Ovis aries: one gene and its partners. The protein of the gene in region 5 purifies or fractionates together with the protein of the main gene of each other region. This does not show direct contact. Links are inferred from orthologs where the notes say so. Each region holds a gene or a part of one and is shown on either strand. Other genes may lie near its edges. The genes, in order: CDK7, ZUP1, ATRIP, PRPF19, RPA2, HLTF and PARP1.

Region 1 (3,500 bases), on a different chromosome or scaffold from region 5:
ACACAGGCTCCACAAATCAGGTGGTTACGGAAAAGAACAGCCACTATAGTTCCAACCTACCTAACTAAACTGTGTAAGAAGTATAAATTAGTCCCCCCAAATTACTAGATAAATCTCTGCGGACTGATTTAATTCAACTCCATATAAAAGAAGGGCTGTATAGTTTTTCACTGTTTAATAAGATACCAACAATAACTCCTGAACTCAGCCAAAATTCAAAGAAGCCACATGAGGCTCATTTGTGATTAATATCCTACACAATACAAGCTTTAGTTAGTTAAGGAATCCTTACCTGGTTACAACCTGATGTGTATAAGCTCTACTGGGGCTCCCAAATGATTTGGCCAGACCAAAATCAGCCAGTTTTAGAACTCCATTTTCATCTAGCAACAAGTTGTTTGGTTTTAGGTCCTATACAATGGAGATTTTAAACCAACAAATAAGCGGGGTGAAGGAGAGCATCATAGTAATACATTTAGTTAAATTTAAACTTAGCAGAAACAGGGTAAGACTCCAAATTTAACCACCACCAAAATTTTTTTCATTGATGTAAAATCCTAAAAATCAAAATAAGATTAGCCATATTTCTTAGTGAGGCCTTGGGTTAAGGTACTTCCTTTCAATGAATTTCAATTTACATACTTCACAGGTTCGCTGTGAGGATTAAATTTAATATTTCCTGTGAAAAGCCTAGAGTAATGACTGGTTCCTAGTAAGCATTAAAAAAAACAGCTGCTGCTATTAATTCAATAACAATATATACAGGGAACTCCCTGGTGGTTCAGTGGTCAGGACCCTGTCACTGTTGAGGGCCCCAGTTCAATCCCTGGTTGGGGAACTAAGATCCCACAAGCCGTGAGGCCCAAAACAATAAACACCACAATATATGAACTTTAGTAAGTAAAAAACATTATGTGTTTATAAAGGATGAAGAATATAGTCTTCACAATCAATGCTAAAAAGATATTAGCCATAACCTAAAAGGAATTCCAAGCTTAAGTATGAGGATTACTATTACATATTTTTAGCTACTTTACTAATAAATAGGATACCTAGGAACATCCACCTACCTAAATCATCAGCCTTGTTCTAGTAGCTGAATGTTCCTAACAATGACTCAGCCATTTCAGAAATTTTACTTGATTACTTCCCAGAGTTTCAGAGCTACCCGAAGTATTTTTCCAGAAGTATTTTTGCATTGCATAATTTAATCCAGACTCCTTGTTGTTTTTTATTATAACAGTATAGCACAAAGAACACGTAACTTCAAGCCAAAATATCTAGGTTCTAATACTCTTTGTCAGTCACTATAGCTACTGACCTCAAAAAAAATATGTAACTTTTAGGTCAGCAACTTAACTCTTCTAAGTATGAAAAAAATGAAGGAATAGGCCTGTTGCATTTCTAAATTCCACCTAGTAACACAGAGTTCTCACAGTGCCACCTGGTTTAACTGAAGGGAGCGCAGAGAGGAAGAAGGGTGGATAAAACAGTCCAGTTCTACTTTAATAATTTACATACTCAGGCCTTTTGTGTAATAAGCTGGCTACAGAAAGTCTGACTACAACATAAAGACGCAATCATACTTGGTTAAAAACCTTACCCTATGCAGAATCCAATGTTGATGTAAATATTCTAATCCTTGAAGAGTCATCAACATATAGGCTTTGATGTGTGAAGGTGTCAGCACAAGACTGTTATCCTTTATTATAACCTGTAAGGTAGGCAGACAGGATACAGGTACGCTTTTATCATTCCACATAAACTCTATCATATCATTTATAGACACAAGCTGGGTTTATTCGTAACGGAGGTTCTCAAGAGAGGTTGCCTAGCTCTCCTCAGGAGGCTCTGTCAGAACCCCCAGTTACATGGTCAGGCAAAGTCTCTCGAGTTTAAGAGGAAAGCAGTACTCTGTCCCCTACCGCTATGTTTTTAGGCATCCATGTAGCAAACATCTGCCGTTTCCACTTGCCTCAGGATATACAGCCCCTCCTGATAACAGCATTCAACATTCCTTTCGGAAACCACGTGTTCCCAGCTTAGTCCACGTGGTTATACGTTGTGCACAACCTGTGGCCTCCAAAGGTAGCAGACATGTGATCCAGGCATGCTCCGTCACCACACTACAGCCTGCCTTCAAGACTAGCTCAGGGATGGAAATGTGAGCCAAGCCAAGCCAAATACTTGAGCTAGAATCAAAGGCAACAGAATACTTTCTCTCCTCAGGCATTATTAAACTAAGGATAGAAGCCTACAAGCACCTGAGCCACTATATTGAGAAATTTTACCCATGAACGAGGCAACAGAGAACAAGTGAAAAATTGTGTTCTGCTAGCATTATTTGTGAACTATGATTCAAGTCAGTTTATTCCCAGACTTTTAGTTATATGAGCTAAAAATGCAACTTTCTTTTTTTCAAATAGGTGAAAGACACTTTTAATCTCAGTTTTTAACACATCAGTTGTGTTACCACAACCAAAAATAGTTTAACAGTTCCCCCTAAATTCCCCAATGCCTCTCTCTACTCAATCTTCCCTTCAATTCCTAACCCCAGCAACCAAAGATCTGATTTCTGTTCCTTTAGTTTTTCCTTTTCCAAAAAAAACCATACATAGAATCATACAGCATCAGTAGCTTTTGAGCCTGGCTTCTTTCCTTTAGTACAACGTATTTAAGAGTCACCTATACTACTGTATATATTAATAGTTTGTTTCTTCTTATTCTCAAATAGTATTCCACTTTATAAAAAATGTACCAGTTTATACATTCACTTGATGAAAGACATTTGGGTTGTTTTCAGTTTGGATAATTACGAAGAAAGCTAAACATCTGTGTGGACATGTTTTTGTTTCTCTTGGATAAATAAATACACCGACGGATTTCTAGATCATACCCTAAGGGTATATTTAACTGTGTGAGAAACTGCCAAACTGTTTTTTCTAAAGTGGCTGTATCTTTGCATTCTCATCAGCAGTGTATAAGAATTCCACTTGTTCCACATCTCCAGACTGTCCATTATTGAGATTCAATTAGTATTAATGAAAAGCCTAAAATCTTATTCTTTTTTTTTAAAGATTTTTTTGATGTGCATCATTTGTAAAGGCTTCATTGAATATGTTACAATACTGTTTCTGTTTTATGTTTTGGTTTTTTGGTTGCAAGGCATGTGGGATCTTAGCTCCCTGGCCAGGGATCGAACATACACCCCTTGCATTAGAAGGTGAAGTTTTAACCACTGGACTGCCAGGGAAGTCCCTAAAATCTTATTCTTCTCAAAAAGAAAGCTGGTTTTCAAAAGGACAGTCTGTGATAATATCACAAGGGAAGTTCCAAACCCTCCAAAGCCAAACACTTATTTTTCTAAAAAGTAATGTTAATAAGGTATCGGGAACTTGGCAGACACAAATGCTATCTAAATCCAAATCTTGTATGTAACACTGGGAATATGGCTAAATGATTCAGAAGATCTTTAACATCACATCTAGATTTCAACAAAA
Region 2 (3,500 bases), on a different chromosome or scaffold from region 5:
AATACACACTGCATTTTAAAGACTGTACAAAGATTGCAAAATACTGCACTGATAATTTTTAATACTGATTACACACTGAAATATATTTTGGATATACTGGAAAAATATTAAAATTAATTTTACCTAGTCTTTATTTTTCTAATGTGACTATTGGAAATTTAAAATTATTTATGTGGCTCACTTACATTCTACTAGACAGCAATTGTCTGGAAAATAGTAAGCTTTCAATAAAAACTATTCTCAAAGGTCTGTTTTCAAATGTCAAGTAAATTGATACAAGATAAAAGTGAATCATTTACTATAAAAATAAAAGGTCAGGAGTTTTAAAACAACACACAAAAAAATTATTTGAACACCTGGTCTCACCTAAAACTATATAAACTGTGGGTTGTGAAAATCAAGCACAATTCAAATAATCCTATTACTTCAGTGATGTATGCAATATTAAAACCATGATTTGGATGTTTAAATACTCACCAGATGTTTTTGTTTTTCCATCATCAACACCAATAGCTAGTGATTCCATCATATCAGCTTTTCTTCTATGAAATTCAGATGGATGCATTCTTCCCCTATTTACTTCTATCTCCATATTTCGTAGCTGCTGTTGTTTGTACCCTCCAGAATTATCTAAACCATATTGTCTCTATTGAACATAAAAACAAATGACTTAATTTTTATGTCCCTTTATATCAATGAGGTGAAAAATTTACCACTATTTTATACATCTGGAAATATATTTTGAAACATTCTGGTTTATAGACTTCTATATGAGTCAACTTACAGATTTTTATGAAAAATAATCACGCACACAAAAAAATCCTTGAGTTAATTAATAACAGCCTTTCTCTATAAACAACCATCATGGCAAGAGACTTGTTTTCCTTGAAGTAGGGAAAGTAGAGAATCCAATCTTCCTGTTAATAGTAATGTGAAAAGCAGATGAGTTCTGACCATATTGCTGATTTTTTTCAAGACAACCTGTCAAGGAACCTGTACTTGTTACCTGGTTCCTAGGCTAGCCTAGAAAGGCCTATTTAATCAACAATTCACTCAGGTATTTATTCTATGCAGTAAATGAACTATGTTTTTGCACACTGACAGAAAACCTAAAATAATATGTTAAAACAGCCCCTACAAAAATATTTCTGAGATCTAAACAACTAACCTGCAAAGTTACATAATCAACTTATACTCTCCTAAACATTGAAAACTGTTGTATTGATAATATAAGGTAGAGAAGATATAGGAAAAGTCAACTTTTTTCTCCTCTGAATCTTGGTGGGAAAATAATTATGCAAATAGATGAACCATGGATGAGAAAAATAGCCTAAATTAGATATTCTAAAGAAAGAATAGCCATGTGCAAGAAATCAGAGGGAAAAAAGTTAGAGGTCAAACAAGTTCAGGAAGATTATGATATGTACAATGCATATTAGTATATTAAAGGCTTTAAGAAGACATCAGGTACACAAACCTGTTTAATTGAACATTTTCAAACCATTCATAAACCCTTTTTATTCAGACATTATCCTATAAGCACATAGAAAAAGAACATTTAAAATCTATGAGCATTATTAGCAAATGACTACGTAGTCCACAGCAAGTTAGGACTGAAAAGAGTCGTAAAAGCTGTTAAAATATAAAAGCTACCAGTTTAGTTCAGTAGATACTACCATTCACCTAAGATAGGCTCAAACTTCATAAAAAAGCATTTGCCATTAAAAGTGGTTCTTTCTAAATTCTTGAACTTCAGTCACTAAAAGAATTTAAGACTCAGAAGACATTAATTCTAAGTTTCTATTTTAAGTATTTTTGCAAACATTTAAAATTCTGAGTCTCAATTTCTTAGTTTTCTCCAGTAACATAGGTTTAAAAGTAGGCTTCACCATTTCATACTGCCCAATCCTGAACAAGTTAAGCTACATAAAGCACTCTTTGTTTCCATTTCTTCCTCTGCTGTTCAAAAAAAAAAAACATCTAAAATAACTTCATGGAGTATGGAAGACTGTAAGATACTTTACATCAGGGTCCCCAACTCCAGGGCCACAGACGGGTACCAGTTCATGACCTGTTAGGAACCAGGCCGCACAGCCGGAGATAAACAGTAGGTGAGTGAGCAAAGTTTCATCTGTTTTTACAGCCGCTCCCCATCACTTGCATTACTGTCTGAAACTTTTGTCAGACCAGCAGCAGCATAATAAACATAATGCACTTGAATCAACCTGAAACCATTCTCCCTGCCACTCCAGGTCCATGAAAAAACTGTCTTGGTCCCTGGTGCCAAAAATGTTGGGGACTGCCACTTTATAAGAAGTGTTTGCTCCAGTATGTAAATGAATGGTGGTTGTTATGAACTATAAAAAATACACGTAAAAAATATTTTGTATTATAATAAAGACAAAAATAATAAACTAAAGTTTTAACAGCATGTTTGAAAAATAAGAACTCTAACTGAACCAAAATAATATAATTATTATTAATCGTTGTACCTGCAGCTTCTGAAATTCTTCCATTTCTTGTCTTGATTCTTGAGATCTCCTCTTTCTGTCTTCTTCTTGTTGAAGCTGTTGAGCCAACTCTAGATCTCTAGAACACTGGACTCTATTCACACCTATCATATATTTTTAATATTTAGAATAAAAGATTGAAATCAAGGCTCAATTATATGTTAGTACATATTTTTTAAATGGAGTAAAGGCTATTATTTTGCCGTTTATTCATGACTATGATGTCACAGAAATACTGAGTATAAATCCAGCAGAACTTGAACTGCCTCTGTAAGGGTACAACCTTCACTTAAATCACTAATATTCACTGAGTGTTTAGGCTGTGACAAACACGTCTCATTAATTCTCATTAAATATCTCATTTGTATCTTCATAACAGTTAGGAAATATTATTACCTGTTGAAGAAACCGGAACTTGAGAGAAATTAAGTAGCACCCTGAAGTGGTGCCCCTCATTAATACATATAAGGCAGATTAGTTTTTAAGAGAAATACTTGGTGGGGAGGAGGGGAGGATGGAAATAATTAAGAGAATAAAAAAACAAGTGAGCAAAGTACAGATATTAGATCATAACCTAATGTCTGACCTCAAGCAAATAGTATAACTTGCCCATTTTGCTCTCTATCCAGTGTCCTACACATCTATTATTCAGTGCCCTCTGGCTAGCATCTCCTAGACCTCTCAATTTGATGGTTTAATTATGTATCTGAATATTCTTTCTTTCCCTTCAAATCGCTCAGCCTCTGATACCTCTTCCTAATTGGTCCCCACTTTTACTGGCGGAAATACACAATCCAAAACTGATTTTTAGCATACTTATGAGGCTATCTACAGTGATTCACTCAGATTCACCTCAGACTCCAGCCTATGGAGTACACATAGCCTATGTGTAAGCCTATGGAGGTTACAGAAAATAACTCATGTACCCATACAAAGCTTGGGTCTCCCTGGTGGCTCAGTGGTAAAGAATCTGCCTGAGACCCGGTTTAG
Region 3 (4,190 bases), on a different chromosome or scaffold from region 5:
CACATGCATAAGTGAATGCATTAACTACAAAAATGACAAGTTAAATCCCTTACCTTTTCTTTAAGTTCTTTGTATTGTGCCTGAAGTACCTCTAATTCAAAATTATCTTTAACTGGAACACTTTCTCTGTTTTTTCCTGCAGGATATTTTGACATCCCATCTAATCTGGTGAACTTATGAACATCTGTAAAAAACAACAATCAAGAAAAATCAGTTCCCATATACTTGTTAAGGCTCAGTATTTTCCCACTTTTAACAGCCAGTGCTGAAAACAATCACTTTTGAAAGCAAATGAGAGAAAGATCTAGTAAGGAGAATAGGTATTTTCCAACATAAGAACATGATTCAATCCTTATGAAATAACAAATTCTGCCACCCTCTCCCCATTCCACACTCAGTTTCTTGTTTTTTTCCCTGCATCCAGTTTTAAGGGTCTCAGCTAAGGGCTGAAAGGTGCTGTGGGAACCTCACTGTTCGAAGCTCAGTGATCCATTATTCAACAGTATTTACTTAGCATCTACAATATGTCAGGCACAATTTAGCCTCTAAAGAAAGCTACAGTGATGAGAGAAATGGATACAGTCCTTACACTCATGGAGCTTACATGGCAATCAAAAATATAAGAATAAACGTAAAATTACGACTGTTATAATAGCTGCAGAGAAGAACAAACAGAGCAATGCCTGTAACAGGGGATTTCATCCACAAGGACGACTGGAAGCCTTCCCGGCTGCTAAGTCGCTTCAGTCATGTTCGACTCTGTGCGACCCCATAGATGGTAGCCCACCAGGCTCCCCTGTCCCTGGAATTCTCCAGGCAAGAACACTGGAGTGGGTTGCCATTTCCTTCTCCAATGCATGAAAGTGAAAAGTGAAAGTGAAGTCGCTCAGTCGTGTCCGACTCTTAGCAAGCCCATGGACTGCAGCCCACCAGGCTCCTCTGTCCATGGGGTTTTCCAAGCAAAAGAATACTGGAGTGGGGTGCCACTGCCTTCTCCAGAAGCCTTCCCTAGATAAGTGATAACTGAATGGAGAGCTGAAGAACAAGCAGGAATTAACCAGAGCAGTGGCGATGGGGAATGGATGGAAAGAACACTCAACGTGTAAGAAACAGCAATAGGGACTTCCCTGGTGGTCCAGTGGTTAAAACTTCACACTTGCACTGCAGGGAGGGTGGGTTTGATCCTTGGGAACTAAATCCCACATGCAGTGCAGCAAAAAAAAAAAAAAAAAGACACAGCGTGTGCAGTTTCTGTATTGTAGGGAAGCAGGGAGAATTCAAGGAATGAAGGAAGGTCAGTGTGGCTAGAAACCCAAGAGGGAAAGGGTCAGGCCACGCTGGGTCTTCCGGGCCATGTTAATGATTTTAATCTTTATACCGGAAGTGTGAAGTCATTCAAGGCTTTCAGTAGGGATGTTCACTGTGCATCTCTGTGTCACAGAGATTTTAGTTTTAAAATGATCACTCTGGCTGTGGTGTGAAGTCTGACTTGTAGGAGTCATAACCTGAAATATGTACACAATTTAGTGGACTTTTGTCCAGGGGAGGGGTGATGGTAACACAGATCAGGGAGATGGCAGAGATGATGCAGAGGATGGATTCTTGGGATGGAAGAAAAAGGTAAAGGTACAGGATTTGGAAAGGGGCAATGGGGATGTTGGCTTGTGGTATGGGATGGAAACTGGTGCCAGTCTTCACCATGCAGAACATGTGTTCATCAACATGTCTTTTCTGAATGTCTGCTTTGCCAGGCATCATGCTGGAGATGCTGGCAGATGACTGGATTTCCAGGAAATGACTGTGTGGAATTTAACTTGCCTACAAGACATCCAAGTAGAGATTCAAGGTACCCTCAAAACCTTTCTCTTCCAGGGAACCCCATAAGACGTCACTAGAATGAGTGTAAGCTCCAAGAAGGTGGGGGCTTTTGTTTGTTGCTAAGTGTCTGTAGCTTCTAAGGTTTGGGGACGTAGTACAATTAATTGGTTGTATAAAAAGAATAAGTCTATCCTATCTCTTGCCTCTGCCAGATCCCTCTTGTGCTCAGGCGGTCCAAAGGAAAAGGTGGTCTTCATTCGATCCAAAGCCTCCCAAATATGTCATAACCATGGGTCCCCATGTGTAGGTAAAGATGCTTCTTATGGCTGTGATAGATGTGTTGCAAAGATCTCTGCTGAGAACTAAGAACCCAGTGGTCCAAAGTATAGAAACCCAAGTAAAATGTTAACCTAGCTTCCTACATTCCAAATCGGCTGTTTGACATTCCTGATACATTTCTCCCCTCAAATCAAAAGACCTCTTGGGACACACAGCTGCTTAAATCAAACTGTTCCTAGGAAGGGGCAGTGTGGGTGCAAGACACCGGAACGGTCACTGCGGGGTTGCGAAGGCACAGCCATCTGGGGGGGGGGGGGGGCTAGGGAAGTCTGCACCACTCTCAAGGGGAAAAGGCGAACTCACTGGACACGTCCCGAGCCGTGGTCGGGCACTGGCTCAGGGCCTGGGACGCAAGCGTGTCGAGTTCCTCCAGGTCGTCGGCGGTGAAATCCCCATGCAGGCCGAATGGGTCTTCGGGGTCCGGGGCGGCGGGGATGCCTCGGGCCCGCTTGCTCGGAGGGTGCCCGGTGCTGGGCGGAGGGCCAGGACTAGGTGCCGGGGGCCCACTTCGCCTCCTGCTGCCTGAAGCGGAGATTCCAGCCATGCCTGCCTCCGGCTGATCTCTAAAGACACTGAGCCCGGCCTATACCCGCGTGGAAGGAGGGATGGACCAACCGCCCGCGCGCCGTGGCTCGCCTCAGCCGCCGGGACACGCCCCCGAACCAACGAGCCAATCACCTGCCAGTTGGCGGGCGCGGAGGAATGACATCATCAGAGCGCGCCGCGATGCTCCATTGAGTGCCCGCTGAACCCTGTTGCTTCCCGCCCTTGTTGGGCCCAACCTCGCCTGGCGCTCTGGTACCGATTGTTAGGATTCGGTAGGCCACTGCGGTGGTGTAAGCGCAGCGAACTGAGTTACCTAGGCAAATTCACCAGCTCCACCACGCAAGTAGCTGTGTCTCCGCTCCCTGACATGCCCTGGGGTACAGAGCAGCGCTTGCTGGAGGTCGCCCAGATAGATATTCAGCCGTGCAATGTGAATCTATGGCATTCAGACTTTTGGTTTTTGTGACCTCGCTGTCCAGCCAGACCCACTTCTCAAATACCCCAGGCTCTTTTGAGGAGGAGTGTGGAAGAATGGGGTTGGGCTAGGAGTTAGGAATAGAGCTGTTATGAGCACTCATCTTCGAGTACAGTAAATGTTTTGAATGTGTACATTTGGTGAAAGTCTGAGAAGGGTGTGTTTGTGTTGAAGGGTGTAGGAAGTCCTTAGGCTGTTAATATTTATTCATTTCTCTGGGAGCTCTTAAGTGTCTTTGTTCCAAGTGCTGGTAATATGGAAATGAATGAGACTCAAGAAGTCAAGGAAGGTCCTATGGAAGTAGCAACTGTGCTGTCCTACAGGTTAAGTGGAGTTATCAAGAGGTATTAAAGAGGATGGCATCAAGATTACTCAGACAAGAATACAACACTGAAATGGAGGCCACACAAGTGCCAGGTAGGCGTTATCAATGGCAAATTAGGAAGGTAAGGTTTTAGAGAGGAGCAGGGATTCAAGCTGGGCTTGAGTAGCTGACAGGCTGCAGTCCATGGGTTACAAAATGCCAGACACAACTGGGTGACTAAGCACGGCACGGTGGTGTGCAGGACATTTAGCAGGAACAAGGTGTTGGAAAGTAATGGGCAAGACTTTTCATTCATGTGTCGCTCAATTGTGTCTCTTTGCAGTCCCATGGACTGTAGCTCATTAGGCTCTTCTGCCCGTGGAATTCTAACTTAGCCTATGAGTATCCTATGAATATTTGGGAGGGCAGTGAATGAAAGGGAGATAGTTGTTAGGCCCTAGAGGGTCTTCAGTACCTGGCTTTAATTTTTTGAGGTAACTGGTAGGTTCCCTCAGATAGTCACACAAATATTGGATGCTTATCTTAATTGCTCCAAGTTTCTGGTCTCGTAAAAACACAAGATTATACTTCGTAAGTGCAGACTGGGTTCCATCAAATAAAACAGCAGTAGCTTCATCTCAGGGGCAGTATGCTAGCTCTGGCTCTCTGAAGGGTTATTCTCAGCAGCACAGGGAAGGGTGCCAGCTG
Region 4 (4,094 bases), on a different chromosome or scaffold from region 5:
CTGCCAAGGGGCAACTAAGTCTGCGCTCTGCAACTAGGGAAGCCACTGTAATGAGAGTCCACACACCATAACAAAGAGTAACCCCTGCTTACTGCAACTAGAGAAAGCCCTCTCACATCAGTGAAGACCCAGCGCAACCAAAAATAAATAATAAGTTCTTCGAAATAAATTATTATAGCTATCCCAGAGGGACTCAGAGGAAAATTACAGGGTGCTGTGGGGACTAAAATTCAGTCAGGGGTCAAGAAAAGAGACTCCAGAGGAAGTGCTATTTAGGGTGAGATTGGATTTACTTTGGAAAGGATGGGAGGGGTGGGGAGAAGGGCAGGGATTGAGGAAAGTGTTCCAGGTGAAGGATCTGGAACCAGAGTGGATAAGTTTGAGGGCTTGAAAGGCCAGTGTGTCCAAGAAGCAGATGACTTGCCCAAAATCACAGAGCAAATTGGTAGTAGGGGCAAGACCAGAAGAGTTTCTTAGCCAGTGTTAGCTTCTCTACCCATGTGTATCTTCGTCTTCACTGGGTCTTCCAAAGCTAATCCTCTGAGAAACACTTGCCAGAGAAACACATGGGGCACGAACTGAAAATGCAGACTCTCTAAATGAGACCCCAGAAAAATGCATTTTTAAAAGTTCCTTAAGAAATTCTTACAGAAACTAACATAACATTGTAAAACAATTATCCTCCAATTAAAAATAAATTAAAAATTTGAAAATAGAATAAAAAATTATGGAGTACTCAAAAATAGACATAAAATATGCAAAACCACTATGGACAATAATATAAAACTATACTGAAAAAATATTACAGAAGACCGCTTCCCTGGTGGCTCAGACGGTAAAGTGTCTGCCTGCAGACAGGGAGCCCCGGGTTCGATCCCTCGGTTGGGAAGATACCCTGGAGAAGGAAATGGCAACCCACTCCAGTACTCTTGCATGGAAAATTGGGTGGACTGAGGAGCCTGATAGACTACAGTCCATGGGGTTGCAAAGAGTCGGACACGACTGAGCGACTTCACTTCACTTCAAGTAAATCAAAGTATACCATGCTCACGAAATAAAAGACTAATAGCATTAAAAATAAAAAAAAATTCTCATATACTCCAATATTTGCAAGACAGTCGTTCCACCGCCCCTGGCTCAAGAGTGCAGCTAAATTGATTGGCTTTAAGGTCCCAGTGCATTAAGGGAAATGTAGTTTCGAATCTCCTCTCCCAGCCATTGGAGCTTTACGAAACTAGCCGAGAGGGCCCGGAAATAGCCGAGTATTTCCTGGCGCGCCCTTTCCTGCCTGATTGCATTATGGGAAAGGACAGTTTCCGTTAAATTCTGGAGGCTGAGGCGCGCGACTGGCCACAGTCCCACGTGAAGCCATTCGCAAGCATCGCTCCGCGGGGCAGCTCCCCGCTCGCAGCGGAGCGTCTGGAAGCAGCGAGGGAACTGGAAGTGTCCCGCGGGGGCCCAGTAGCTGATCCCGGAGTCCAGTGTGAGGAGCCTCGGAGTGCAGCGAGGGCGCCATGTCTCTGATCTGCTCTAGTGAGTATCGGCTGCGGCCGCTCGCGGGGCGCTGGAGGCCGGAGAGCTGAGCGTGAGGATCTGCGCGCCTCTGCGGCGCCGGGGTCGGGGCTGGACCTGAAAAACGGGGCTCCGGGGAGGCAGGGCGGCGGCCTGTCAGCCCGGGGGGGTCTTCCTCCTCCAGCGTGAGGTCAGTTTGCGCAGCGCTTCATAGTTTACATAACGTCTCCGGTGCATTCTCGCAGGCTGCACAGAGGCAGCCCATCTCGTTTGCGCAGTGGATATGAGGCTTGGATAGCGGGGAGCTGGTGGTGCAGGGGAAAGAGCTCTCTGTAGGAAGCAGGAAGCCAGAGGGCTTGTGCAGGATCCGCCTCCAGCTGGCTTTGTGATCTGGCTCCGGGATGCGGTCCTCAGTTTCCCCAACTGCAAAAATAATGGCCTTGGCACTGGATGTGTTGTCTGAGGCCCCGCTTGGGTAGGCAGCGCTTCTGCAGTTTGCGAAGATCGCACAGTGAGTTGGAGGCGGTGACAGGCCTGGGAGCCAGACCAGCCTCACCCTGTAGGGCTGATGAAAACAGCTGCACATTTGGAAAAGCCTCTGTTGGTTTACAGCGTGCTTGCAAAACTGCAGAGTCGTTCTGTCCCCACAGCAATTCTCCAAAGCAGAAATAAAGATCCGGTTTTACAGATAAGGATGTAAGGTTCAAGGAGAAATGTGGCTTTTGTAAAACAGTACAGCTAGTTAGTGGCAGAGCTGTGTGACGAAGCCAGTTTCTCTGATCCTGAATCCATGCTTTTTTCAAATGCTTTGTCCTGTCTTTTGGATATGTTATTGAGGAGAGTGGTTGTTCATCAGGTTATTAGTTTCTCATTCTTTTCTCTCTCGGCTTCCTAACTCTCGAGCTCTTGACTCTTCTCAGAACCTCCCCATAAATCCAAAATAAAGGAGAGAAAGAGTGAAGGGAAATGTGACTAGAAAAAGAGTCCTTAAGCGTTAAAGAAATGACAGTGTGCAGAGTATTTTCACATTCATTGTTTCAGTCCTGAGGAAGGTCTTTTCAGTATCCATCAGCTGGTCTGTTAGATGTTTCCTGAGCATTTGCCAAGCACCTGCATTGTACTGGAAGTCAGAGAGCAGCTACAGTCCCAATCCTCAGGGATGTAAATGGATACTTCTGTTGGGGAGTGGTGAGGATGATTTCATCAATGGAAAGTGTTTACAGTGGAGCTTGGCGCCTAGTAAACACCATGTAAATACTTTGTTATCATAGCACTTGTCACATCGGTTTGTAATGTGTCCGAGAATCCATCTAGGTCCTAGTCTGAGACTTGAATGGCTTTGTGTGTATCTTCTTGTCCTGCTATATAATGGGTGCCTAAGCGTTTTTGTTCAGAAATGAGATGGGCAGGAATTATTGACTGCTCCCTAGGTGCCTAGCATTTAGTAGTTGTGCAGCAATTATTTGTTGACTACCTAACTGTCAGAGACTGATGGAGAAGCTAGTTAAGTGGCTGGAAAGCATTGTGGGTACAGTCCAAAACTGGCTTGGTGTCATGTCTTGATTCCTGTTAGCTGAGTGTAGGGAGCAAGGTCTTGTGGAGGCCAGCCGAAGGTGAAGCGTCCCCTTGGCCCAGGGTCCCTGTCACCACCCCAGGCTCACCACCTGCCTTTTCTCCGCAGTCTCCAATGAAGTGCCAGAACACCCCTGTGTGTCCCCCGTCTCTAATCATGTGTATGAGCGGCGGCTCATTGAGAAGTATATTGCAGAGAATGGCACAGATCCCATCAACAACCAGCCTCTGTCCGAGGAGCAGCTCATTGATATCAAAGGTGCCTGCTGGCCAGCCCCAGTCCAGGCTGTCCTAGCCTAAAGCCTGGGAAGGTGGGAAGGGTGGCGGGTGCATAGCATGTGGGAGCCAGGGGAGGAAACGGTGGTCTGTTAGTGCTGAAGGGGAAAGAAAGAATGTGGGAGGGCCAGCATGCCCTAGGTCATGGGTTTTCACACCCACTTTGTCTCTCTTGGCAGTTGCTCACCCAATCCGGCCCAAGCCTCCCTCAGCCACCAGCATCCCAGCCATTCTGAAAGCCTTGCAGGATGAGTGGGTGAGTCCCCGAAGAGAATTTATATTTTCGCGACTTGAAAAGAAGGGATCACTGGACTAGGACATGGGTGGGGATGGGAGGGATGGAGCCTTATTTTCTGTTTTGAGGGGAGGGTGAGAGCAGAGAAGCCTGGTTCTTAATGTCACACAGATCTGGGCTCCACCCTTTGCTCCGTTGCCCACTTGCCACGTCCCTTGGCAAGTATCCAAGTGCTACTTTTCCTGACCATATTGCATGGATTAGTACCTGTCTCAGGGTTTACAGAGACTCAGAGTAAAATTAGAGTATGAGCTTCATGGTGTCAGGGACTTGTTTTACTCATTAGAGCCCCAGCAGTGAGAACCAGGTTCACAGCAGGTGCTCTAAATATGAATGAGTCAAAGACTGCATCTTGAGGACTGCCTGGCTCAGTGCCTGACGCAATGAGAGCAGTCAATAAACAGCAGCTGTAGTGTTTTTATTCCTTTCTGGTGAGGTG
Region 5 (3,500 bases):
TTTGAGGTGAATTTGAAGGTATTACTGCTGCCCACTTAGAGAATGTTGCTGCTGCTGCTGCTAAATCTCTTCAGTCGTGTCTGACTCAGTGCGACCCCATAGACGGCAGCCCACCAGGCTCCCCCGTCCTTGGGATTCTCCAGGCAAGAACACGAGTGGGTTGCCATTTCCTTCTCCAGTGCATGAAAGTAAAAAGTGAAAGTGCAGTTGCTCGGTTGTGTCTGACCCTCAGCGACCCCAGGGACTGCAGCCTTCCAGGCTCCTCCGTCCATGGGATTTTCCAGGCAAGAGTACTGGAGTGGGGTGCCATTGCCTTCTCCGGAAGGTATTACTAACACCTCAGTAATTACACATATATAATGTTTTTACCTGAGGAATAATAATTTTTATTGAATACATAGGACGATATATAGAGATTGATATTAGCAGTTTTATATAGAGTATACGTTTTGTTTACAGCTCCACAGGTTGATATCCTCATTTTACAGAATGGGTGGCAGTGTGTCCAGGGCTGTGGAGTGGGGGTTTGAACACAGGTTTATAGGACTGTCTGGCTCCAAAGCCATGTTCTTGCTGCTCTTACCATAGTGGCTCTTAGTTTTCTTCTGCTGAAGATACGGTGAAAATCTCAAGTGTGATAGGTGAAAATAGAACCTCAACAGATTTTAAATGTATAAATATTAATATAGCATATAAGTTCGTTTACCAATACCATAAAATTGGAAAACATAGTTGGTTCCTTTACATCCTTATTAAAAGCTACTGTAGATAGAAAGAGTGAGGAACAATAATAACTGGCCTAATAATTGCTGATATTTCTTGAGTGTTTATAGTGTGCCAGATAGTCTAGGTACTTCACCATATATTTACTTCCCATTTGATTTTTAGTGATTTTATCATTCCTTGTTTTGTAGATGAGGAAACAGAGGTAAACAGATGAGTAGAGAAATGTGATCAAGGGCACGCTACTCCTGAGTGGTGGAGCTATAATCTTTACCCTCAAGCTTGGCTGCCACCTGTGTGACATATGTGCTGGTAGTTGGCTGGGCTTACTTTCTACTATCCTGGCAGTATTCACCATTCAAAATTATGCTTCAGTAAAGTGAAATATTGCTAGTATCATGGACCTTCAGAGATAAGCTTTGACTTTTAAATCAGTTTTACATATAGAACAGTTACTGGGTTTACATCTTATTGATTTCCAACAGGAAGAACCCTCATCTTTAATGCACCATGCTTTTTCTGTCTTGTACATAGTCCTTCCTAAGAGTCTATGAAAGTGCATATTTGCTCTCAGTCTATAATGCATGTTCCTTACCCACTGTTTTTTCACCATCAAAATTTTTGTGCTTCAAGGTCCACCCTAAATGCTCCCTCTTGTTGAAATTTCCAGTAAATTTTTCTGAGATTCCACATAGAGTTTCTCATTCTGTAGTGTACAAAAATCAAGATTGTTGCTTACATTTGTACCTCCCCTAAGTTAGGAGTATGTTGAGGGCAAATCCTATTCCATTGTACTCATCTTTGTCCTCTGACCAGAGGTAGGCAAAATAAGAATTTACACTGTTGTTAGGTTGCTTTTGGATGTGAGTTGGGTGTCTGTCCTCTTCTGCCCATTGCCTCTTGTCCCTTTCCTTTAGGATGTCCAGTGTGACCAAGCCTTTATCCCATTTCCCCCATACTCGTGTTTGATTGTCAGAACATCTATCCTAAAGCTATATGTCTAAATTTCTGTTGTCATTTATCATGAGACTTAGAACAACTCCAGAGTTCTCTCTCTGCTGACCATTTCTCAGACCCCTTCCAATACCCATCTCATCAGTGATGAAAATCCAGCTCCATCTTGCCTTCATCCTAAAGGTGGAGTTTCTTCTTAAAAGTCTGTTCCAGAAGCAGGTCCTTATGCTGTCCACAATCTGGCCTACTCATTTTGGTGATCTCTAGTGCAGCACAGACTTATCCATTCTTCAGGAACTTTGGAGTCAGACAAACCTGGGTTTGAAATCTAAAGTATGGCATTTGTTAACTATATAATCTTGGTTTTCACCTGTATGAAGTAGAGATAGGATCATATTGAAGATTCAGTGTTACATGTATAGTGCTTGGCACATAGCAGGTGCTAAATGAACAGTGGTTAATTATTTTCTTGATTGAATTTATGAATACTTTTTTCAGAGAGCTCGAGCTCAGCACATTGTACCCTGTACCATATCACAGCTGCTTTCTGCTACTCTGGTTGATGAAGTATTCAGAATTGGAAACGTTGAGATTTCACAGGTATGGAAGAGTGCAAGAGTCACTTAACATGAAGAATGAAATAAAACTAACATCATTTAAAAATATATAAATGTTACTTTGGTTTTCAAGAAAACTAAACTTTTTTCCCTTCTGGTCTAGGTCACTATTGTGGGGATTATCAGAAATGCAGAGAAGGCTGCAACCAACATTGTTTACAAGATAGATGACATGACAGCTGCACCCATGGATGTTCGCCAGTGGGTTGACACAGATGTAAGTAGTTGTTTTGGAATCAGGGTGGGGTTACTTGGGGACTTTGGAGATGTCGAACTTGTTTAGTTTTACTTTTTAAAGGTGGGTCTTATAAAAATAAAACATAAGCAAGACGTCAAACACAGAAACTCTAACATGAAAGGCCAGTACATTTATTTTCATAAAAATTTAAAATCTTTGAAACTTCCCCAAATACTATAAACAAAGTTAAAGGGCAAGTAACAGGACACACTAGAATGTACTTTGTGAGTACAAAGATTTTTTATGTTGGCATTGTATCCCCAGCACCTAGAATAATGCCAGTTACATAGTGGGCCCTGAGTAAATATTATTCAAATGAGTGGGGAAATTTTTTGTAACATATTACAAACATTTTGAATTTTTAATTAATGAAAGTTCTTACAAAGGAAAAAACAACTGCACCTTAGGAAAACAAGAAATGCACAAGTAATTCATAATAGGTGAAATACAAATTGCAACAACAATAAGAAAAGCAGGTTTACTAAATACCATTTTTAACTTACTAAATCAACAACAACAAAAAAGAATGGCAACGTCTACTTCTATTGAGAGCAGGAGGCACTTAATTTGGGGAATGGTTTGTCAGTGTTTGTCTGGGAAAGCGGATACCATCCTACCTTGATGTTATGAGTATAATCTTTCTCAAAAATCAGCCGATAATCAAGATCCCATCACAGAAATGTTGATCTAGCAGTCCACTGCTGGAAATTTACATTAAGGAGATCAAGATGTGTGCAAAGATTCAGTTGTAAAATTGTCGATCATCACATTATTTATCATAATGGAAAACTAAAAGGAATCCCCATGTTAGCAATAGGATATTATTCATTAAACCATGGTATATTTTTAAAATACTGCAAATGATGTAGAAATACATGTATTGTCACAAAGAAGTGTTTACCATAAATGTTGAGAGAAAAGAGGTTATTAAAGATAGTATGCGTGATGTGGCCCCATTTTTGCAAAGC
Region 6 (3,500 bases), on a different chromosome or scaffold from region 5:
AATAGAGTTATTTTTTACATTTAATTTTAAGTCCCATTAAGAATCATGTTAAATATCTGTCACGTGCAAATTTTACTTGGAAGTAAAACAGAAAGAGATTGTGGAGGACCGAGAAGCCTAGAGTACTACAGTCCATGGGGTTGCAAAGAGTCGGACATGAATGAGCAACTGAACAACAACAAAAAGTATCTAACTGGGCAGACTAGCAAGAAAAAGAACATGGAGGAGGACCAATAATGAGAAGGTAAGGGCAGTTTTTAGGATCAGAATGCCAGAAGAAACTGAGATAGAAGTGTTTAAATACATAAGATAACCTATTACCAAGGTTGTAAGATAAGTAAAATAGTAAGTTTACTTGAGAAGGTAGAGCTTTCACTAACAGAACCACTGAGTGTAGCAACCCAATCTGAGAAAATGGGGAATGATTTCAAAGAATTATTTCTGATTCAGGATTTATTGAAAGTTTACTCTCAACATCTGAAAAGCCTGAGAAAGGAAATGAACTGAAAAAGGAGAAAACAAGTAAATAAGTGAGAAGACACTGCTAAGTATTTATCTTCCAAACTCACCTTTAAATATTCTAAACAATCTACACTAAAATTTAGATCACAAACATAAACGCATACAAAACACAACCAAGGAGACTGAGTTTTAAAAAAGGAACAGGTGGTAAAACTAAGAAGGGATATGCCTAATTAATGCAACAGCTGCTACCTAGCTCCAGTCAAATGATGTCAAGTGGAAATCAGTATCCTGTATTACCAGATCTTCCATTTATCAAGAGAAAACTTTGTAAATAATGTTTTATAATTAGGGAAAAAATAATATGCATAAAATGCAGAACATCCACATATTTTAATACTGGAAATAACCGAAAAAATTTAAACACTGCAGGCAAAATCAAACTCATCTGGAACTGATCACAGACTATCAGCTTACAACCAGATTTAAACAAACATTCCCAAACTTCTAAAATCAATACACTAAAAGGCCTTTTTTTCTCCTCAAAAAAATTAGAGATACCAAGGGAACATTTCATGCAAAGATGGGCACAATAAAGAACAGAATTGGTATGGACCTAACAGAAGCAGAAGATATTAAGAAGAGGTGGCAAGAATACACAAAAGAACTATACAAAGAAGATAACCACCAAAGATAACAAAGAAGATAAACCCAGACAACCACGATGGTGCGATCACTCACCTAGAGCAAGACATTGTGGCCAGTCAGGTGGGCCTTAGGAAGCATCACTACGAACCAAGCCAGTAGAAATGATAGAATTCCAGCTGAGCTATTTCAAAGACTAAAAGATGATGCTGTGAAAGTGCTGCACTCAATATGCCAGCAAATTTGGAAAACTCAGCAGTGGCCACAGGACTGGAAAAGGTCAGTTTTCATTCCAATCCCAAAAATAGGCAATGCCAAATAATGTTCAAACTACTGCACAATTAAACTCATTTCACACACTAGCAAGGTCATGCTCAAAATGCTCCAAGCTAAGCTTCAATAGTACGTGAACCGAAAACTTCTGGATGTACAAGCTCGATTTAGAAAAGGCAGAGGAACCAGAGATCAAATTGCCAACATCCACTGGATCATAGAAAAAGCAAGAGAATTCTAGAAAAACATTTGCTTCATTGACTATGCTAAAGCCTGTGTGGATCACAACAAACTGGAAAATTCTTTAAGAGATGGGAATACCAGACCACCTTACCTGCCTCCTAAGAAATATGTACACAAGGTCAAGAACCAACACTCAGAATCGGACATGAAACCACCGACTGGTTCCAAACTGGGAAAGGAGTACGTCAAGGCTGTATATTGTCACCCTGCTTATTTAACTTATATGCAGAGTACATCATGCAAAATGCCAGGCTGGATGAAGCACAAGCTGGAATCAAGACTGCTAGGAGAACTATGAATAACCTTACACATGCAGATGATACCATCCTTATGGCAGAAAGCAAAGAGAAACAAAAGAGCCTCTTGATGAAAGTGAAAGAGAGTGAAAAAGCTAGCTTAAAACTCAACATTCAAAAAACTAAAATCATGGTGGACAAAGGTCCATCTAGTTAAAGCTATGGGTTTTTCCAATAGTCACATATAGATGTGAAAGTTGGACCAAAAAGAAGGCTGAGTGCTGAAGAACTGATGCTTTTGCACTGTGGTGTTGGAGAAGATACTATAGAGTCCCTTGGAGAGCAAGAAGATCAAACCAGTCAATCGTAAAGAAAATCAACCCTGAATATTCACACTGGATGAACTCATGCCAAAGCTGAAGCTCCAATACTTTGGCCAACTGATGCGAAGAGCCCACTCATTGGAAAAGATCCCGATGCTGGGAAAGATAGAAGCCAGGAGGAAAAGGGAACAACAGAGGATGAGATGGTTGGATGGCATCACCGACTCAATGGACATGAGTTTGAGCAAGCACTGGGAGGTGGTAAAGGACAGGGAAGGCTGGCGTGCTGCAGTCCATGGGGTCGCAAAGAGTCAGACATGACTGAGTGACTGAACAACAACAAAAAGGCTTTTTTTCCTAAAAGATTGTATGGACTTTTTAATATTTGAACCAAAGTCTCTTTTTCTCCATGGTAATAATTTACCAGGAAAGTGAGGGAATAGCTATCTGATGGTTAGGGTAGTGCAGGCAGATGATAAAATTAAAACATTTACTGAACATATACTAAAGGTATAGTCACAGAAGTTGTCAGAGCAACTATACATATCCTTAAATTCAAGATCACCACAATTCACAATTATTGAAACTAAACTCCAGAAGTGCATTACCCTTCAATTTGTGCCAATTTGTTGTCCATGATATAGGCCAAGGCAGCTGCAAGATCTTTCTTTATATGACCAACCTGATTTCCATTCACATTGTTTACTTTAATTGCATTCTTATCATAGGGGTTATTCGGCTCTCGTTGTAATGCAACCATTTCATTATTATTAACCTAATAAAAATAAACAGATATGTTATAAATAATAAATATATGATAGATTTCACTGTACTTTATCTGGGATTTCCATTCATTTTTTTAATGCTTGCTGAATAACACCACACATAAGAAATGTACATTTTCTTAGACTCATATTTCTACAGAAATATTACAGAATATATTTTAAAATAATTCTTTTGCAGTATTTTCCTAATTTACATTAATTGGAAAGTTAAAAAAATCCTTGATATATAAAAGGTATAATCAAAACTAACAGATACACATTATATAAAATTCCCAACATAACTTCAAAAACAGATAATCTCCTGAATGCTTATTACATACCAAACATTGTTCTAAGTACCTTATACAGACTGACTTTCAAAACTGTCACAACCCTACTGGTAGGTCTTATCATTATCTCCATTTTGCAGATGAAGACACTAAAGCACAGGAAAGTTAAGTAACTTGTCCAAGGTCATAAAGTTAATAAGTAGCAGAGCTTAGAATTTGAATCCAGGCAGGCTGGTTCCTAAGCCTAAGTTCTCCAGAATCTGA
Region 7 (3,500 bases), on a different chromosome or scaffold from region 5:
CCTAGCTATCTTCACACCTGTTAGGGGTTGTCTAAGACATGACCCAGCACTGTAACAACAGCAGAGCCCGAGCCGTCCTGCCAGGCTGGGCTTAAGACAGGGAGATGCAGGGCTGAGGAAGAGTAGCTGCTAGTGGTCTCTACAACCCAGATTTGTCTTGCCTTCTCTAAGGCTGGCTGGAAGAAGCAGAGAGGAAGCAAGCTGGTGAAGAGGAGGAATGGTCAAGGCTAATCTGCAACTCTTGCACTCTGCTGGTCCCTGCTTCTTTTTCAAAGCGGCTCCAAGCTTCAAGGCAGCAAGAACATGCATCTCCCAGGGGACACAGAGCACCTGACCCTGGCTGGTGGTCCCTGCCACTTTTTCTTGTATAGAAATATGACTGATTCACTCATCACTCCCCTCCCCCAGCCCACCCCTATGATTGGCTGGTATGCATTTTATGGGATGAAGCAAGTGTCAGCTCACTGCTGGTCCTAACAGTTCTTTCACTGTAAATGGGCTCCATCTTGGACTTCCATGACAACTCTGAGCGGCCTATTTGGTTGAGCCACAAAAGAACCACGCTCCACATGCCTTTATGGCAACTTCAAGGGAAAAAGTGCAATGGGGACAACATACCATCTATTTCACAACAGGCCAATGATTCTCTGTGAAAGTGTAGGTACCCCAGGCCTCAGCGCTCCTGTATGCCTCAGGCTGAAGACCAGCCACTGAACTCGTTGCCAACTCAGCACTCCAATCACCCACCCCAGCAAATGCTCACGAACGTAACAAAAGTGCAATAACCTCATACTCCACCATGGCTTTCTTCATACTTTCTACATCGAAGATCATCTTAATGAGGTTCTGCACTGGCTTGGGGAGCTTGGACTTGGTGCCAGGGTTTACTGTCAACTTCTTCACTGCCTCTTCATCCTGTAGGGAAAATCAGGAAGAGACTCAATTAAACAACCCAAGCAAAGTTGTGGTAGTGTCATCTGGCAGAGAAAGGATATAGGATGGCGTGCCAATGGCAAAAAAGGCTTAAAAAAAAAAAAAAAAGGCAGCATGTAAAAGGTTTGGCATTAGATGTCAGGAGAAACATGTTGAGTACGGACAGGATGAGACTGCCTGTGCACCCCAGATCCTCTTGGCTGCTCCCGATTCTTATTCCAGACACCGCCGAAGCATCAAGTTCTGCACAGGCAGACCTGCAGGCACCCACACTCCCTCCCATGCTGGGGTTGCTGGTGCCCAGTGCCCATTCATGCCCAACATGGAAGTGCTGGCACCTACAAGGGCAAACCTTGGACCCAAGGCACACTGGACTGATGGACAAATTCTGCCTCCTTTCTTCTCTTACACTGCCTCACCCAAGACTGAATTCACACAGCCTTCTCTATAGTGCCAAAGGATCAAGCAACCAGTCCCACTTCCTGCCAGGCAGCTTGACAGCGTTAAAGCACATATGAGCACCATCCCTACCCCTCACCCCTGCTCCCTGGGATTGCTCTTCCTAATATTCTAACAACACAGGACTTTAACTCCTGCCAGCTGGGGATCCCAGGCTGAGCGAAGACCCTGCCTGAATGAGGGGAACTGGTGCTGGGCTTTGCTCCTGGAATCTGCTTGGCTTAATGAAGCTGCAGAGAAGAACCCGTGTGCTAGTCTCAGGGCTACTGCTGTCAGTGGCACAGCAGATCTACTCTCAATGCTGAAACACACGTCTTTACACGCATTCTTATCTTCTAGTTTACTGGAAGGCAAACTACTACTACGTTAAAAAGCCTTATTTATATGCATATACTGTAACCAGGAACTCTAAGGATAGATAGTAAGCAAAAAGGCATATAGATATGTACATCAGCATCATTATAGCAAATACCTAGAAATAATCTAAATATCTAACTGGGGGATGGGAGAGTGTTGTTTGGTAAATTACAAACTACAGCCACCCAAAGACCTGGGTTTTGATCCTTGTGTCGGGAAGATCCCCTGGAGGAGGGCATGGCAACCCACTCCAGTATTCTTGCCCGGAGAATCCCACGGACAGAGGAGCCTGGTGGGGTCCATGGGGTCACAAAGTGTAGGACATGACTCAGCAACTAACACTATTACTACTACCAGAGGATGGAATTCTATACAGATTTAAGAAATGATGCTCTAGTTCAGTACCATTTAACAGAGTAGCCCCTGGTTCTGACATGTGGTCATTCTGAATTGAGATATGTTTTAAGAGGTAGAAAAACATCAGCTATCAAAGACTGAGTTAAAAAAAAAAAGGAAAGATATTTTGATATCAACATATCAAAATGATAATATTTTGGACATACTGGGTTAAATAGTATTAATTTCACTGTTCTTACTTCATAAAATGTAGCCACTAGAATATTTAAAATTGCATAAGTGGCTGCATCTCTCTGTTGGACAGCACCGCTCTAGAGGACACGGGGAAATACTCCTAGAACATTAAGGCAAAACGTGGGTGGTTGGTGACACAGTGGGTAAGGAAAGACTCCAGGGCTGTGATGGCAAAAAGCACCTGTCAACTGAAAAGAAGAATATACAGACGTATATCTTAAGCTTAACTTTTTTGTACCTTTGTACAACTCAGGTGCTAGCTACCCTTCCTTGCAGTTGAAAATGTGCATACAATTTACATGGTTTCTCTCTATCCTCAGCACATCCATGGATTTAACCAACCACGGATCGTATGGAACTGCAGGATTTACAATGAAAAAATTCCACATGTAAGGGGACCCATGTAATTCAAACTTGTGTTGTTCAACTGTACATCTTTTTGAAATGCAAAAAATAAACTCAGTAGGGAGCACTGCTGAGTTAGACCAAGCATGTCTAACACTCAAGTCCAAGTTCTCTACCCCAACATTACACAAGAGTTAATTTCTGTTTTTAATGGTAAAGTTCATGACACTCTATAAACTAGAGAACTTACAGTTTATAAATTCTTCAAATCCCCCTTTGAGACATGTTAGACCTCAAAGATTTGAGTTAAAACCTGTACCACTGTAATAAATCTCTTTCCCTCTGCATAATAAATGTGTATCACCCCTCATTATAAAAGCAACAGGTTTTCATATAGAAACAACGTAAGAATTTTGTCAAAACAAATGGCCTCAACAGGATCAGTGAAGAGACACTGGAAGGTTGCCTGGTAATATAAAGGGAGACGATTAAGCTACAAATAAAAATAATGGGAAATTATCAGGAAATAATTTAGGACTAAAAACTATGACCCAGTGTAGTCACTATAATTCTATCTTGATGATAAAGCGAGTCACGTGACCTTCAGATAAGCAACCTCTATGAACTCCTCCTCCCTGAGTTTAGGGAGCAACTTCAAAGACTGCTCCTTTGTGACAGTCTTTGAAAATGCTCACACTGTTCTTACAAGCTTCACCTCACACTTCATGGAATAGATTTATTCATGAAAGGGCATGGATTTTATTTAATGCTTTTTCTGTGTTCCTTAGGATAACTGTGTGGCTTCTATCCTTTAT

What was found.
Region 1: the proteins of RPA2 (region 5) and CDK7 purify together in Homo sapiens (affinity purification with mass spectrometry; 3 studies listed by BioGRID and IntAct, with this or other methods). This does not show direct contact. The link is inferred for Ovis aries from reciprocal best matches to the Homo sapiens genes RPA2 and CDK7.
Region 2: the proteins of RPA2 (region 5) and ZUP1 purify together in Homo sapiens (affinity purification with western blotting; 3 studies listed by BioGRID, with this or other methods). This does not show direct contact. The link is inferred for Ovis aries from reciprocal best matches to the Homo sapiens genes RPA2 and ZUP1.
Region 3: the proteins of RPA2 (region 5) and ATRIP purify together in Homo sapiens (affinity purification with western blotting; 5 studies listed by BioGRID, with this or other methods). This does not show direct contact. The link is inferred for Ovis aries from reciprocal best matches to the Homo sapiens genes RPA2 and ATRIP.
Region 4: the proteins of RPA2 (region 5) and PRPF19 purify together in Homo sapiens (affinity purification with western blotting; 4 studies listed by BioGRID, with this or other methods). This does not show direct contact. The link is inferred for Ovis aries from reciprocal best matches to the Homo sapiens genes RPA2 and PRPF19.
Region 6: the proteins of RPA2 (region 5) and HLTF purify together in Homo sapiens (affinity purification with mass spectrometry, with the first as the bait; 3 studies listed by BioGRID). This does not show direct contact. The link is inferred for Ovis aries from reciprocal best matches to the Homo sapiens genes RPA2 and HLTF.
Region 7: the proteins of RPA2 (region 5) and PARP1 purify together in Homo sapiens (affinity purification with mass spectrometry; 3 studies listed by BioGRID and IntAct, counting the BioPlex papers as one, with this or other methods). This does not show direct contact. The link is inferred for Ovis aries from reciprocal best matches to the Homo sapiens genes RPA2 and PARP1.

What each region holds. Positions count from the first base shown.
Region 1 is NC_056069.1:10,557,760-10,561,259, forward strand, and holds part of CDK7 (cyclin-dependent kinase 7), read right to left. Parts: intron 1,715-3,500; coding exon 1,604-1,714; intron 412-1,603; coding exon 293-411; intron 1-292. UniProt on the Homo sapiens protein: Serine/threonine kinase involved in cell cycle control and in RNA polymerase II-mediated RNA transcription. Cyclin-dependent kinases (CDKs) are activated by the binding to a cyclin and mediate the progression through the cell cycle.
Region 2 is NC_056061.1:21,159,939-21,163,438, reverse strand, and holds part of ZUP1 (zinc finger-containing ubiquitin peptidase 1), read right to left. Parts: intron 2,615-3,500; coding exon 2,493-2,614; intron 647-2,492; coding exon 478-646; intron 1-477. UniProt on the Homo sapiens protein: Deubiquitinase with endodeubiquitinase activity that specifically interacts with and cleaves 'Lys-63'-linked long polyubiquitin chains. Shows only weak activity against 'Lys-11' and 'Lys-48'-linked chains.
Region 3 is NC_056072.1:51,443,797-51,447,986, forward strand, and holds the start of ATRIP (ATR-interacting protein), read right to left. Parts: upstream 2,801-4,190; 5' UTR 2,702-2,800; coding exon 2,461-2,701; intron 185-2,460; coding exon 54-184; intron 1-53. UniProt on the Homo sapiens protein: Required for checkpoint signaling after DNA damage. Required for ATR expression, possibly by stabilizing the protein.
Region 4 is NC_056074.1:34,605,910-34,610,003, reverse strand, and holds the start of PRPF19 (pre-mRNA-processing factor 19), read left to right. Parts: upstream 1-1,294; 5' UTR 1,295-1,514; coding exon 1,515-1,533; intron 1,534-3,193; coding exon 3,194-3,343; intron 3,344-3,539; coding exon 3,540-3,616; intron 3,617-4,094. UniProt on the Homo sapiens protein: Ubiquitin-protein ligase which is a core component of several complexes mainly involved pre-mRNA splicing and DNA repair. Required for pre-mRNA splicing as component of the spliceosome.
Region 5 is NC_056055.1:239,185,104-239,188,603, forward strand, and holds part of RPA2 (replication protein A 32 kDa subunit), read left to right. Parts: intron 1-2,175; coding exon 2,176-2,277; intron 2,278-2,397; coding exon 2,398-2,511; intron 2,512-3,500. UniProt on the Homo sapiens protein: As part of the heterotrimeric replication protein A complex (RPA/RP-A), binds and stabilizes single-stranded DNA intermediates that form during DNA replication or upon DNA stress.
Region 6 is NC_056054.1:239,824,516-239,828,015, reverse strand, and holds part of HLTF (helicase-like transcription factor), read right to left. Parts: intron 2,958-3,500; coding exon 2,791-2,957; intron 1-2,790. UniProt on the Homo sapiens protein: Has both helicase and E3 ubiquitin ligase activities. Possesses intrinsic ATP-dependent nucleosome-remodeling activity; This activity may be required for transcriptional activation or repression of specific target promoters.
Region 7 is NC_056065.1:28,669,106-28,672,605, forward strand, and holds part of PARP1 (poly [ADP-ribose] polymerase 1), read right to left. Parts: intron 916-3,500; coding exon 787-915; intron 1-786. UniProt on the Homo sapiens protein: Poly-ADP-ribosyltransferase that mediates poly-ADP-ribosylation of proteins and plays a key role in DNA repair.